Linked DNA regions of Oryzias latipes. Each later gene encodes a partner of the first gene's protein in a complex. Links are inferred from orthologs where the notes say so. Each region holds a gene or a part of one and is shown in the gene's direction. Other genes may lie near its edges.

The links.
Region 2: the proteins of mios (region 1) and cytosolic arginine sensor for mTORC1 subunit 1 are in contact, whole or in part, in a cryo-EM structure (PDB 9LVK), measured with the Homo sapiens proteins. The link is inferred for Oryzias latipes from reciprocal best matches to the Homo sapiens genes MIOS and CASTOR1. Residues at the interface, in NP_001357005.1 of Homo sapiens: Ala83, Asn84, Val109, Pro110, Lys111, His112, Ala113, Arg114, Asp134, Lys135, His136, Arg137, Asn184; in NP_001032755.1 of Homo sapiens: Val94, Ser116, Thr117, Tyr118, Gln119, Thr120, Asp121, Thr188, Tyr236, Leu255, Thr256, Ser257, Ser258, Ala295, Tyr296.
Region 3: the proteins of mios (region 1) and seh1l are in contact, whole or in part, in a cryo-EM structure (PDB 7UHY), measured with the Homo sapiens proteins. The link is inferred for Oryzias latipes from reciprocal best matches to the Homo sapiens genes MIOS and SEH1L. Residues at the interface, in NP_001357005.1 of Homo sapiens: Arg279, Arg316, Ser317, Phe353, Glu354, Arg355, Ile356, Ser357, Leu358, Ala359, Trp360, Pro362, Leu366, Met367, Trp368, Ala369, Cys370, Gly371, Arg372, Leu374, Tyr375, Glu376, Cys377, Thr378, Glu379, Glu380, Glu387, Asp389, Ile390, Ala391; in NP_112493.2 of Homo sapiens: Met1, Phe2, Val3, Ala4, Arg5, Ser6, Ile7, Ala9, His11, Lys12, Asp13, Leu14, Ile15, His16, Asp17, Val18, Phe20, Phe22, His23, Gly24, Arg25, Met27, Trp47, Ser173, Ser174, Ser175, Asn230, Leu231, Gly232, Arg233.

The regions. Positions count from the first base shown.
Region 1 is NC_019874.2:30,578,522-30,582,530, forward strand, and holds the start of mios (GATOR complex protein MIOS), read left to right. Parts: upstream 1-1,209; 5' UTR 1,210-1,339; intron 1,340-3,561; 5' UTR 3,562-3,595; coding exon 3,596-4,009. UniProt on the Homo sapiens protein: As a component of the GATOR2 complex, functions as an activator of the amino acid-sensing branch of the mTORC1 signaling pathway. The GATOR2 complex indirectly activates mTORC1 through the inhibition of the GATOR1 subcomplex.
Region 2 is NC_019867.2:3,167,677-3,171,176, reverse strand, and holds part of cytosolic arginine sensor for mTORC1 subunit 1, read left to right. Parts: intron 1-74; coding exon 75-157; intron 158-418; coding exon 419-513; intron 514-3,500. UniProt on the Homo sapiens protein: Functions as an intracellular arginine sensor within the amino acid-sensing branch of the TORC1 signaling pathway. As a homodimer or a heterodimer with CASTOR2, binds and inhibits the GATOR subcomplex GATOR2 and thereby mTORC1.
Region 3 is NC_019874.2:7,228,450-7,232,259, forward strand, and holds the end of seh1l (nucleoporin SEH1), read left to right. Parts: intron 1-1,009; coding exon 1,010-1,154; intron 1,155-2,616; coding exon of another isoform or gene 2,617-2,698; exon of another isoform or gene 2,699-3,055; intron 3,056-3,061; coding exon 3,062-3,245; 3' UTR 3,246-3,310; downstream 3,311-3,810. UniProt on the Homo sapiens protein: Component of the Nup107-160 subcomplex of the nuclear pore complex (NPC). The Nup107-160 subcomplex is required for the assembly of a functional NPC.

The DNA.
Region 1 (4,009 bases):
AAATGATCTTTCCTTTATTTTTTTTACTTTAGAGTCGACGTTCTTGAACCCATAACTGAGGGAGAAGGTGTCTGAGATGCTGCAGAAGCTGCTCCCGTTCAGCCTTTTGTTCTTCACATGGATGAGAACTGGAGCTGCAGCTGCAAAGCATTGTGGGACAGTATTTCTGTTGCTTGAGGAGATAATAAAGGAATCATTGAAACTCTGTTAATATTTGATGGAGCTCCAGCAGCTCGTTTTATGGGATCTTTGCAGACACTCCCAGGGTAGTTTCTTCAATTTGGAGCCTTCAGAGATGAAAACGACTCAAACATCAAACACAGATGATGATCTGAAGGAGGTCACCCGTCTTTGGCAATTCCTGGAGAACCATAAAAGCAGACCCTGAGGCTAAAAGCAGCCCTGAAGCACCTCCACCATGTCTTTTCATAAGTCTTCACTGTTAGTTTGTCTGCAGATGTGACAGAGCGTCACAAAATCATCAAATCAAATCATCTAGCACCATCTCATCCTCTCAAATGCATCCTCCTCACTCTTTATATCCATCCACCTTCTTCCCTTCTGGCAGCTCCATCCTTTTACCAACATCATCCCTGTTCCTCCTCCTCCTCGATGTGTTCAGACCTCCACCTTCAGCTCCACTGTCCTACAGAACATCTTGTGGATGTCCTGCACAACTTCTGCTAACCTTTTTCTCCTCACAAACTCCTGAACTCTCCTCATTCCAGCACAGTCTCCTCATCTGCGTTCCTCATTCCAGATGAAACGAGTCTCCATGATGTCTTTAGCTGGAGCTGCTGGGTCTTCTGGGAGAAGCTCCCAATCTTTTAGCACGGTCCTCCACCATCTGTCCTCCTGCATTCCTGTCCTGAACTCCAAACTTCATCACTTCCTTCATCCAGATTTCTCATCACTCTCTCCTCTCTCTAGAAACCCTGGATATTTATTGGAATTGTAAAAATATTTTCTTTTATAACTTATTTTTAATTTTAACTTTTTATGTTAATTTTAGTTCATTATTATGCATTTGCTTTTAAATATTTACTTTATTTTTTTTGCGTCCACGGAGACTAAGATTATAAATCTGCTTCTATTTATGTTTTAAAGTAATTGTGATTTGTCTCCTGAGTTCTTATCTTTCGTTTCTGTGACTCCTGCGCCCTCTAGTGGTAGTTTCTATGTCCAGCAACCCGTAGTGGAATGTTACACCGCCGACAGCTGTTGCTACACGGACATATTTTGGTGTAACACACAACATCCTTGTGCTCCTCCAAAGTTGTGAGTGTGCGACATGTGGTTTTCCAGCCGAACCTCGTTCGTGTGTTTAAACCTGCTGAGAGTAAGTACCGTCTGCGTCCTTAGAGAATCATTTCCTATGAAATATGTCGGAGATTTAGATTTAATAACAAAATAAAAACCTTTCCGTTGGATCTGTTAACATTAGCATTAGCTTGGTGAGATTAGCATGTCAACAAACTTTCTGATTTTTGAGTGAACAATTCTAAAACGCATTTTGTTCGTAGTTTACTGCGACTTTTTTAAACAAAATAAATGACAGAAGTTGTTTGGTTTGATATTAGTTTTAAAGTAATGACATATAACTAGAGGAATTCGCACGTTTGGAGTGAATTTCTCACATAAGATAAAATGTGTGTTTTATTATACGGAACCATGAGCTAGAAACGCGTTTTTTCTGCTTGTGAAATAAAAACCATCCTGGTTTTTTAAATGTTCCTTTGCTCCTGAAAGTCTCTCCTTCTGTGATTAAAACGTCAAACAGATTAGATTGGAACCTTAAATGGATTTTAGGACAAACAGGGTTTGATGTTTGTAACCTGACTTCACATTTATTCAAGGTTTTTATGAAAGCATGACGTGAATTTTCCTTGAAATTCACAGGAAAAATCTAGAATATAAGTTTTGTTTTGCTTTAAGTGAAAAGAATCTGCCACTGAAACGTATTTGGGAAGATTTCTGAAAATAAGCTGCAATGATTTTCTCTTTTAAGACAAAATACAATCTGTCATGCACTCATATTTAGGCTTCTTGGTCTGGAAATTGGAAATATTATGTCTTAAAGAGACCTGAAAGTTTTTTTTTTTACTATCCTTAAAGTAGGTACATTTATACACTTAATAACCCAATTAAATATAACCCATTCAACTCTTAGAGGTGTAATCATTAATCAACTTGTCCAAACCAATTGATCTGTCTGAGACAATTTGTTAATCGATTCAACCTAAACTACATTAAAATTGAGATAAATCGACCTGTAATCAACATTGGAAAATACCATTTAGATTGAGAGGAAGTAGGTTTATTTGACTTTAAGGTAAAAACAGTGGAAAACACACGTGACGTCAATAACACGGATCATTCAATGTGTGGACAGACTTTGAATAAAGTCATGTGACCATCCAGTGTCTAGAATGTTCTAAGAATGTTCCCTTTGGATTCTTTGGATGTGGAAAAACAACAGTGGTGAACTTTAGGAAACTAACATGTGAATGGATTTGACATTCATTCTAGTTTACTGGTTGGTTTGGACACAGATTTCATTCACACTTGAAGAAATCCAAAGAATCTGGAGAACTGTTCAGTAGCAGGAATTTCTTACTGCTGGAAGTTTTAAAGACGACCTGGATCCGTTTTACGTCAGAGAATCGGATCGTTGTTAAACGCCTTTCATTAATCCTCATTTCTAGACCGTGATCGTCCTAAATTAAGACTAGAATCGCACACTAAGACAACTTTGTCTTTAAAAATGTTGTGTGTCACAGTTTCCCCAAATCAAGCAGGTTAATCTCTTTTAAATGAGATCATCACAAATAAAACTTCTGCTTAAAATATGATGTAGGAGTTAAAAATCTATTTGTATTTCAGAAAAAGAAAAGTTTTAAAGATCAATGGACTGAAGATTTATTGACTTTTAACAGGTTGTTACTGAGAAGTTAGTGAGTTTTGTCTTCCATCAAGTGTCAAAAGAGATTTAAGCCTGAAACTCAACTAAAATACTTGATTATGGGATTTTACAGCGTAGACGTTTCTAAATGTTTTTATGGTCTCGGGCCTTCAGACGGATGAGTCCTGGTGGACCCTGAGGTCCTCTGATTCAGGCCTTTTGGATTCCCCAAAAGTTAGAACTGAAACACACGGCGAGGCCTCATTCAGTTATTATGGGTTTGTGGAACAAACTCCCAGCATGCCTCAGGGCTGCAGAGACTGTTCAGGTTTTTAACAGTTTCCTTTTTTAGGTCAGTTTTATTTATGTTTTACTTATTTATTTATTTTAATGTATTTATTGACAGTTACCATTTTATATCTGTCTATTAAGGTTTATTTATTTACTTATTTGGTTATTTCACTTTGACATTCAAGTAGTATTTTTTTTTTAAACGCACAGTCCTGAATTCGCCGCCCATCTGCGGCGTTTTGAACGAGTACATCTCTCATTTTCGGACCATCCCTCCTCTGTCCAGTTTTCGTGGTGGAATCCATCACTTTGGTTTCTGGTCGGTGGCGTTTGCGTTCGTGGAGGTAAAACCTTCTGTCGTTTTTCAGGTTGGGGAGAACAGACGAGTCTTCTAGCTGCACCATGAGCGGCTCAAAGCCGGACATCCTGTGGTCGCCGCACCACCCGGACCGCTACGTCATCTGTGACTCCGAGCTGGGCCTGTACCGGATCGGGCCTGTTTGCAGCGCCGAGACGAAGCCCGGCTCGCTGCCCCTGTCGGAGGAAACCGCCGCCACGCTGCTGGCCATCAACTCCGACACCCCCTACATGAAATGTGTGGCCTGGTACCCCAAGCAGGAGCCCGAGTGTCTGCTGGCTGTGGGTCAAGCCAACGGCAGAGTCGTGCTCACCAGTTTGGGTCAGAGCCACAACGCCGCCTGCAAGGAGCTGGTGGGGAAGGAGTTCGTGCCCAAACACGCCCGTCAGTGCAACACTTTGGCCTGGAACCCGGTGGACAGCAACCTGCTGGCCGCGGGGCTGGACAAGCACCGGGCC
Region 2 (3,500 bases), on another chromosome or scaffold:
GGTGTTTCTACCTCTACTATTTCATGATCAATTGTATTTGATTGAAGTGGAGCTTCTCTCTCTCATTCCTCTAGGTTTCCTTCTGATCTTCTGTTCACCAGCTCCTCCGGGGAGCTTTGGAGAATGGTCCGGATCGGAGGACAGCCACTTGGTTTTGGTAAGAAAGTCCTCGTCTTCCACTCTGAGCTCTCTGGGTTTCCACCGACCTGTTGTTGCCTGTAGATGTCTGGACTTTGTTCTGAGGGCCAACCTTCCAGCCTGCATTCTTTGAAACCTTTAGGCCTGCACAATATATCACAAATTTATCAAGCTGTGCAATATCCATATTTGTTTGCCTTATGGATTATTCAAGTAAAGAAAATGGTTTCATTTCAGTTCTTCTGACATCGTTTTCCTTCATTTTGTGTTATCTTTCCAGATGAATGCGGCATCGTCGCCCAGATATCGCAGCCTCTCGCTGACGGCGACATCTCTGCCTATTACATCAGTACCTTCAGCTTCGACCACGTTTTGGTGAGTTTCCATCAAACCGCCACTCCTGTACCTTTGCCGTTCAACAGGAGAAACTCCTTTACACTCACCGCAGGAATTTAAAACCATCTGGATGATTAAGGGAGTGCCAAAAGATAAAACCAAACACACATTTCTTCATGCTTCATCACCGTCTTAATGATTCCATTCCTTTACATCTCAGAACATCGCAGACCCTGAACTCTTTTAAAGCTCTTTTGAAGGCATCTCTTTAATAAGTAGAGCTGTGACGGTGTGGGATTTTTGATGTGATGAACCAGCAGGGGGCGCGGTGTCGCGATTAACCGCCAAACACAAAATCCCCCGGTGGCCGCGTCGCAAATGAATACAATTACAACGCAGTATTCTTTATTAACAAACAACAGTAACAACTCACTACTACCTATCTACCTAATGAACTAACCATATAGGTGTTGTACAATGACTGTGTATGTGTGTCAGCGTGCTGCGTGTGTTGGAGGAAGGAGCGCACACAAGTGTGTTGGGGGTGCGTGTTGATTCTTCTGCAGCGGATCGCTCTCCAGCTGCACGCGAGGCTTCACCTGTGCTCTCTGGTACAGACATCTTCTCAGAATATTATATATTGCCCAGTAATATACCAAACAGCAGACACTTTGTCACCTTTCCAGTAGCCGTGAGCCTGACACCCATGAAGAAGGCGGGGCAGGAGGCTCCGCCTTTGTTTATACGGACACGTAACGTTGCGCTGCACAAAATAGTTTCCAAACAAAACATGTAGTGATGTTTATCGCACTCTAACAGTGCGTGTTCATGTTTGGTGTTACGGAGTGAAGGAGAACAGTAATGAAAAGTTTCCCCCAGAAACCTTTGAAGTCTGAACACATAGGACTAGTAGAAAAAGTGAATTATCAGCAAAGATGAATGTGTTAAATGTGTTGATTATAGTTCCAATCACGCACCATATGCAGAACTAAAAAAAAAAAAAAAATTAAAAAGCAAACATCACCACGGTGATGCGGTTACCGTCACACCCTTATTGTTAAGTGCTAGTTTTTTAGCTTTTAGTTAGCTTTGTTTAGTTGGCTAATTTTTATTTAGTGTTCTTTTTTTTCTCACATCTTGTTGTAGCACTTTGAGGTAATGTTTAATGAAAGCTGCATTATAAATAAATTATTATTATTGTTATCATTCTGTTTTTAACACAATCCAGTCGACATAAAAAAGTAGGTTGCTGGAGTCTACACTGCTTCAGTAAAAGGTCTTTTAATGATTCTTACGTGATGGATGGTTGGTTTCCTTTTTCTGATTGTGGTTTCTGAAGGTGTTCTCCGTCACAACTGGCATCTTCTGCCCACAACGTTGTCTTGAAATGACTCTAATCTGAGGGCCTTACCACTGAAACGCATCGGTTTTAGCTGAAAAAAAAGAGAAGTTTGATCTAATGGAGTGTTGTAGAAAGGCACTTAATGCTATGTAATTATCACTCCAAAATGGAGAATAATGTTGGATTTTAAAGACATAAACTAAACACGGGAAGTAAATAAATCTCTTATTAAGTGTGGATGAAGACCGAGGTTCAGTTTACTGAAATATGTTCAGAGAATAAAATGGATTAAATAGATTAGAATAAAAATAGAATACAAAATGTCATGAAAGCATGTTCAGGATTTCTTGTCAAAGGCCCAAATCAACAATGTTTGTTTTGTTTACTGCTGAAGTTAACCAGGAAGTTGACATAAAAAAGTTTGAGTGTGACATAGTTTCAAGTGACATTATTTGTTGTTTTGCTGACTCTGGTCTGCTGTTTTAAAAATGGGTGGTAATTCAAAACATTTATTTATTTTTTTCGAACATCCAGTAAAAATACACACATTAAGCGACCATTCTGACATATTTATCATAATTTCCGGATTATAAACCGCTATTTTTGTCACACGCTTTCAACCCTGCGGCTTATTTTCAAGTTAAAGTTCCAATCCTACACTGAGGAGGAAGACTTCCATGGTTTTAGTGCACAGAAGGCGCGTGCCGTGCAGACCCGTATAAGTTACTGCTGCTCTCAGTGACTTTTACCGGTATGTTTGTTTAACCAGCCCTGTTAGTGCTGTTACTCCCTTATTGCTGCCGTGTTACTGCCGCATCACAGGCACTGTTTGGAATAGAGCTGTGACGGTGTGTATGGCGTTTCATCTCTGCCATAAAGTAAAAGGGCGTAAAGACAACTGAGCGGGCGTATTCAGGAAGTGATTGAGTGAACCTTACAACCGCGGAGGCGCAATACTACCCGAGCGACCCAGCATTTTACAACTGCAGGCCTGCAATTATAACTGAGCGGGGCTCTCCCTCCTTCTTTTCGCATTCCACCATCCATTTTGGAGGAGCGTGGGCGCTCGCCTGGGCGCGGGTGTTGGCTCGCCTTTGCACTAGTGGTTTGCGTGATGGAATGGGTGAGGTGTTTCACACTAGTTGGTTTTGGGGCATGGGTGTGCGTGCGGGCACTGTCTGTTTTGTGTACATGTTGACTTGTCGACAGGTGGACATTTTTGCAGCAAGCAGGTGTGTTGATAACATTTGAGTGTGTGTGTGGACAGGCCCCGCCCTTTTTGTACTACATTTGAACCGTACCGTAATGATAAACAACCAGTAAACTTGTTGCTTTATGCTGCTTCATGGTCTTACCCCCCCTCCCCCCTATTATCACCCCCTACCCCCCCCCTCTCTCTGACGTCCCTCTCTCTTCTTCCCCTCTTTCCTTTTCCGTCCGGTCCAACACCAAAGATTTTCAAACATGATTGAAATTAATAAAGTTTGGCCTCAATTACAAAAGGGGTTTATTCAGACATACCTTTGGTTTGTCTGAAGATTAATAACCCCTCTTGTTAAAGTAAAATATTTCCAACACAAGAGGCCCTCAGCTCTCATCTGCCTGCCTAGCTGTTGGACAGGACAAGTTAAAAAAACAAAAAAAAACAAATCACTGAGCGGGGATCCTGCGTGGTCAGTTCCTT
Region 3 (3,810 bases), about 23 Mb from region 1:
AAAGTAAACCGTGTTATAGCGAGGGATCACTGTAACGGATCAGTACTGCCCACGCTGAAGTAAACATGGATTTCACCGCTCCTCGACTCGACTTGAATTGTTTGGGGTTGGGAAGTGTATGTACAGCTTCTCAACGCAGCCAGTAGATTGGCAGCTCAGTCGTTACCACCGCATACAGAGTGAAGCTCCAGTTAGGTCACTACACAATATTGTTCAAACCCCTACTTCCCTCCCCGTCTTCTTCTACGCCTCACAGCTACGCATTAGGCGCACCGCCTCATAGTGCGCCCCTATAGTTTGGAGAAAATGTGAGACTTTTAAGTCCACTTTATGGTCGTGAAAGTACGGTAAAAAAAATGTCGTCCTGGACAGCATTTTGAATCGATACAAATATCGCCAAATGAAATATCGCGACGTATCGCTAAATAAATTTTCCGTCAACCCCTAGTAATCACATCTCCATGTCTGGGTTTATCGGATCATTCAGAGACTCCTCCAGTACGTAGAGCTTCACCGTCTACTGCAGGAGCTGCGTCTGAATGCCTGCTGCTTTCAGCGGTTCTTCCACCTCTCTGTGACCCAGTTTGACCACTTGCTGTCCAGCATTAATCAAACTAGAGGACATTTCTGTTATTGTCTTAAAAGTAAAAAGAAAAATATAAAGTTCAGGAGGAGACCGATGAGATTCTCCTCCATGTTGGTTTTAGGCTCCACTTGCTGACATTAACACGTCATGTGCCAAAGCTGAGCCCCTGATTGGTTGACATGGCGTGAATTCTTCGCTTTAGATTTTTGATGCCTCATCACACCCAAATTTATGCTGCCGCCAGATCGATGTAACATTCCAGATGCTCATGTGGCACTGTAGGACCTCAGATCAGGACTGTATATTGGCATTGAACTGGATGCCCTTCATGTGTGAATCGTGTTTGAGGTGAATGCAGCTTTTGGTGTATTGAAGGTGTCCGCAGTTCTTCCCTAAGCTGTCCTCTGCATGAATGCTCTGCAGCAAACTACATGGACAACTGGAAGTGCACCGGCATCCTAAGGGGAGACGGCAGCCCGCTGAGCGCGTCTTCAGGTCAGCCCATCAGCACCATGGTGGGCTCTTCCCTCCTCTCCCAGAATGCTCTGAATGGGATATCAGCAGGAAGGTAGGTGGCGTGGTGCATCTGCGGCCACACCCCCTCGTTAAAGCCTGACTGCTTCGTGTGGGCTCACACTGACCCGGAGCTGCCACTGAAACAACTGAACCTGCCATTTGGACTCACACCGACCGCGCCTCCTGTAAAGAGCTTGGCTGTCGACATCTTTCTGTGCTGGGAGGGTTTTTTTTTGTTTTTTGTTTATTGCTGTATGGCATAAGAGGGCCAATGTTCCCTCTGTTGTATGAAAGGACTAACGGGTGTTCAGCTGTAAAAATCGAAATAAAACTCCTGTCAGTTTGCAATGTGCTCCACTTTTTTCAGGGGAATGTTGTTTCTTGTGAAGACCAAGCAAACACCACAAAAATCAATTTAACCCTTGTGCTATCTTGTGGGGTCCAGATGACCCCACAAGAGTGGGGTCATCTGGACCCCACAAGATAGCGCAAGGGTGTGATGATTGTGCTTTTCATATGTAATTTTTTAATGATTTGTGCGTCAATTAAAAAACGTGATATAAAAATACATCACTGCTAATGCTTGAAAAGTCCATTATGTGGACACAAATTCGCGAACGCATTTCGCAAAAATCTTGCACGATTGCAGAAACTGCATAACTCTGAACTGTCTGAAAATTTTGAACAGCTTAAAACCAAATTCACGTAAAGGCCCGTCAGCCGACACCCTCGACGGACATCTGCGCACATTGATGAACAACAAACGCAAGAAACATGAGTTCGGATTATCACGCATGTATCATGAAAGACCGAAAGGTCATACATGGAAAACATGCAAAATGTACGTAGCGGCTGTGAGACGCGGCGTTGAGTCTCAGCATCCTGGTGCAGCTGTAGCCAAACTCCTTGCTGAGGGGAGAAGCTTGAATGAACCTTAATAACCCGTAACACTGAAATGTGAGGATAAATACAGCCACCTCCACCGTGGAAACTAAGCTCTCGTTATGGAACATGTTGAGCCCAACACCAAGGGAGTTCCTGATCAACAAATCTCAAACCACCTTCATTTCCGTCTCTTGTGAAAAGTCCCGGGGAAGTTGGGATTGAGGGCTCGTCCTGCCATCCACAGCTCTGCTGGCAGCAGCTGCTCATGCTCCTCAGCAGAATGCTCACAAATAAAAGCGTGGCAGATGCACAAAGGATTAATGGGGGGTCTGGGGTTTTTCAGATTGGATGCGTGGCTGTATTTGTGCTCGGGTAAATAATCCTGGGCTAACGGCCGGACGTCCTGCCTGGCCTTTAACCAGAATAACAGCTGTGGGTGCTGCGCCCTCTCTGTCACAGACTCACCTTGTGTCCAGTGATGTGTGTGTGTGTGTGTGTGTGTGTGTGGTGTGTGTGGGTGTGTGTGTGTGTGTGTGTGTGTGTGTGTGGTGTGTGTGGGTGTGTGTGTGTGTGTGTGTGAGCAGAGCGTCTTGAAGGTAATTTGCTGTTGTGTTGCTTGTTGCATGCAGGATTGGCAGGAGAGCTCCGTTTGCTCCTCCCCTGCGGCCGCTGACCTCCTCAAAGATAGACCAGACTCCTGCATATTACTAATGATCTGGTGAATAGCTGTTTGCCCACAGAAGGAATGTCTGGGGTTCACTGACATTACTTTTAGTGCACAACAACCACATGCATGAACAGTAGCTAGGTTTGATTCCCTGATTGACAGGTTGTCTGATGCTTCACACTGGTTTTATTAGGGTGGTTTTTTAAAGAATAAAAGTCTCGTTCCGGCCCACCTGACATTACTTCCTGTTTAGTTTCTGTTGCAGACATACTTCATTTCTCAGTTTAATTTTTTATTCTACTTCCTGTTTCATGTCCTCCCTTGTGCACTCCTCATTTTGTTCTTCCCTGTCTGTATTTTTCGACTCTGTTTCCCTTCCTCTGCCTGTCCGTCCGTTCTTGCTTCAGGTATTTCTTTCCACCTTTGGATGCTCCCAGAGCGGGCAGCAGGTTTGGTCACCTGCTGCCACCTTCCTCCCTCATAGAGCACTGCGATGCTGAGCTGGTTCCTCAGCCTCAGCAGCAGCAGAGTCTTCCTCACAGACACTCCTCCAGAGCACTGCTGTCCTTAGCAGAGGCAGAAGAGCTGTGATTGTTCTTAGAATAGGAAGAATGGCTGTCATGAACTTGGAATAAAGAACTTTGCAGACGTGTTGACCTCTGAGCTTCAGTTTCTGACTGTGGAAGCGTTTGTCCACGTGAGAAAGCGGCTTTTTTTCTGGATGATCCTCCTGGTCCACTCCACCTGCATGAGGCTTTGTCACCAATGCTTCATAGGGAATTTCCTCCTTTGATGAAGGGCTGTTGTCAGGCAGAAAACTGCTTCAGGCTTCAGTCAACTCAAATGGTTTTTGGATTTTCCCTACCAGCTTCTCAATGACATACAGTGGTGGACAACATTGTTGGTACCCCTCAGTTAAAGAAAGAAAGTCCACAATGCTCACTGAAATGACTTGAAACGTTCAAAAGTAACAAATTAAAATTTATTGAAAATTAAAGACATTAAAGTTGAACTCCTAGATCAAGGTACATCATTGTCAGATCGCACCATTCATGGTTGTTTGAGCCAGAGTGGACTTCATGGGAGACGACCAAGGAGGACACCACTGTTTAAAGGAAATCATGAAAGAGCCAGACTGGAATTTGTAAAAATGCAT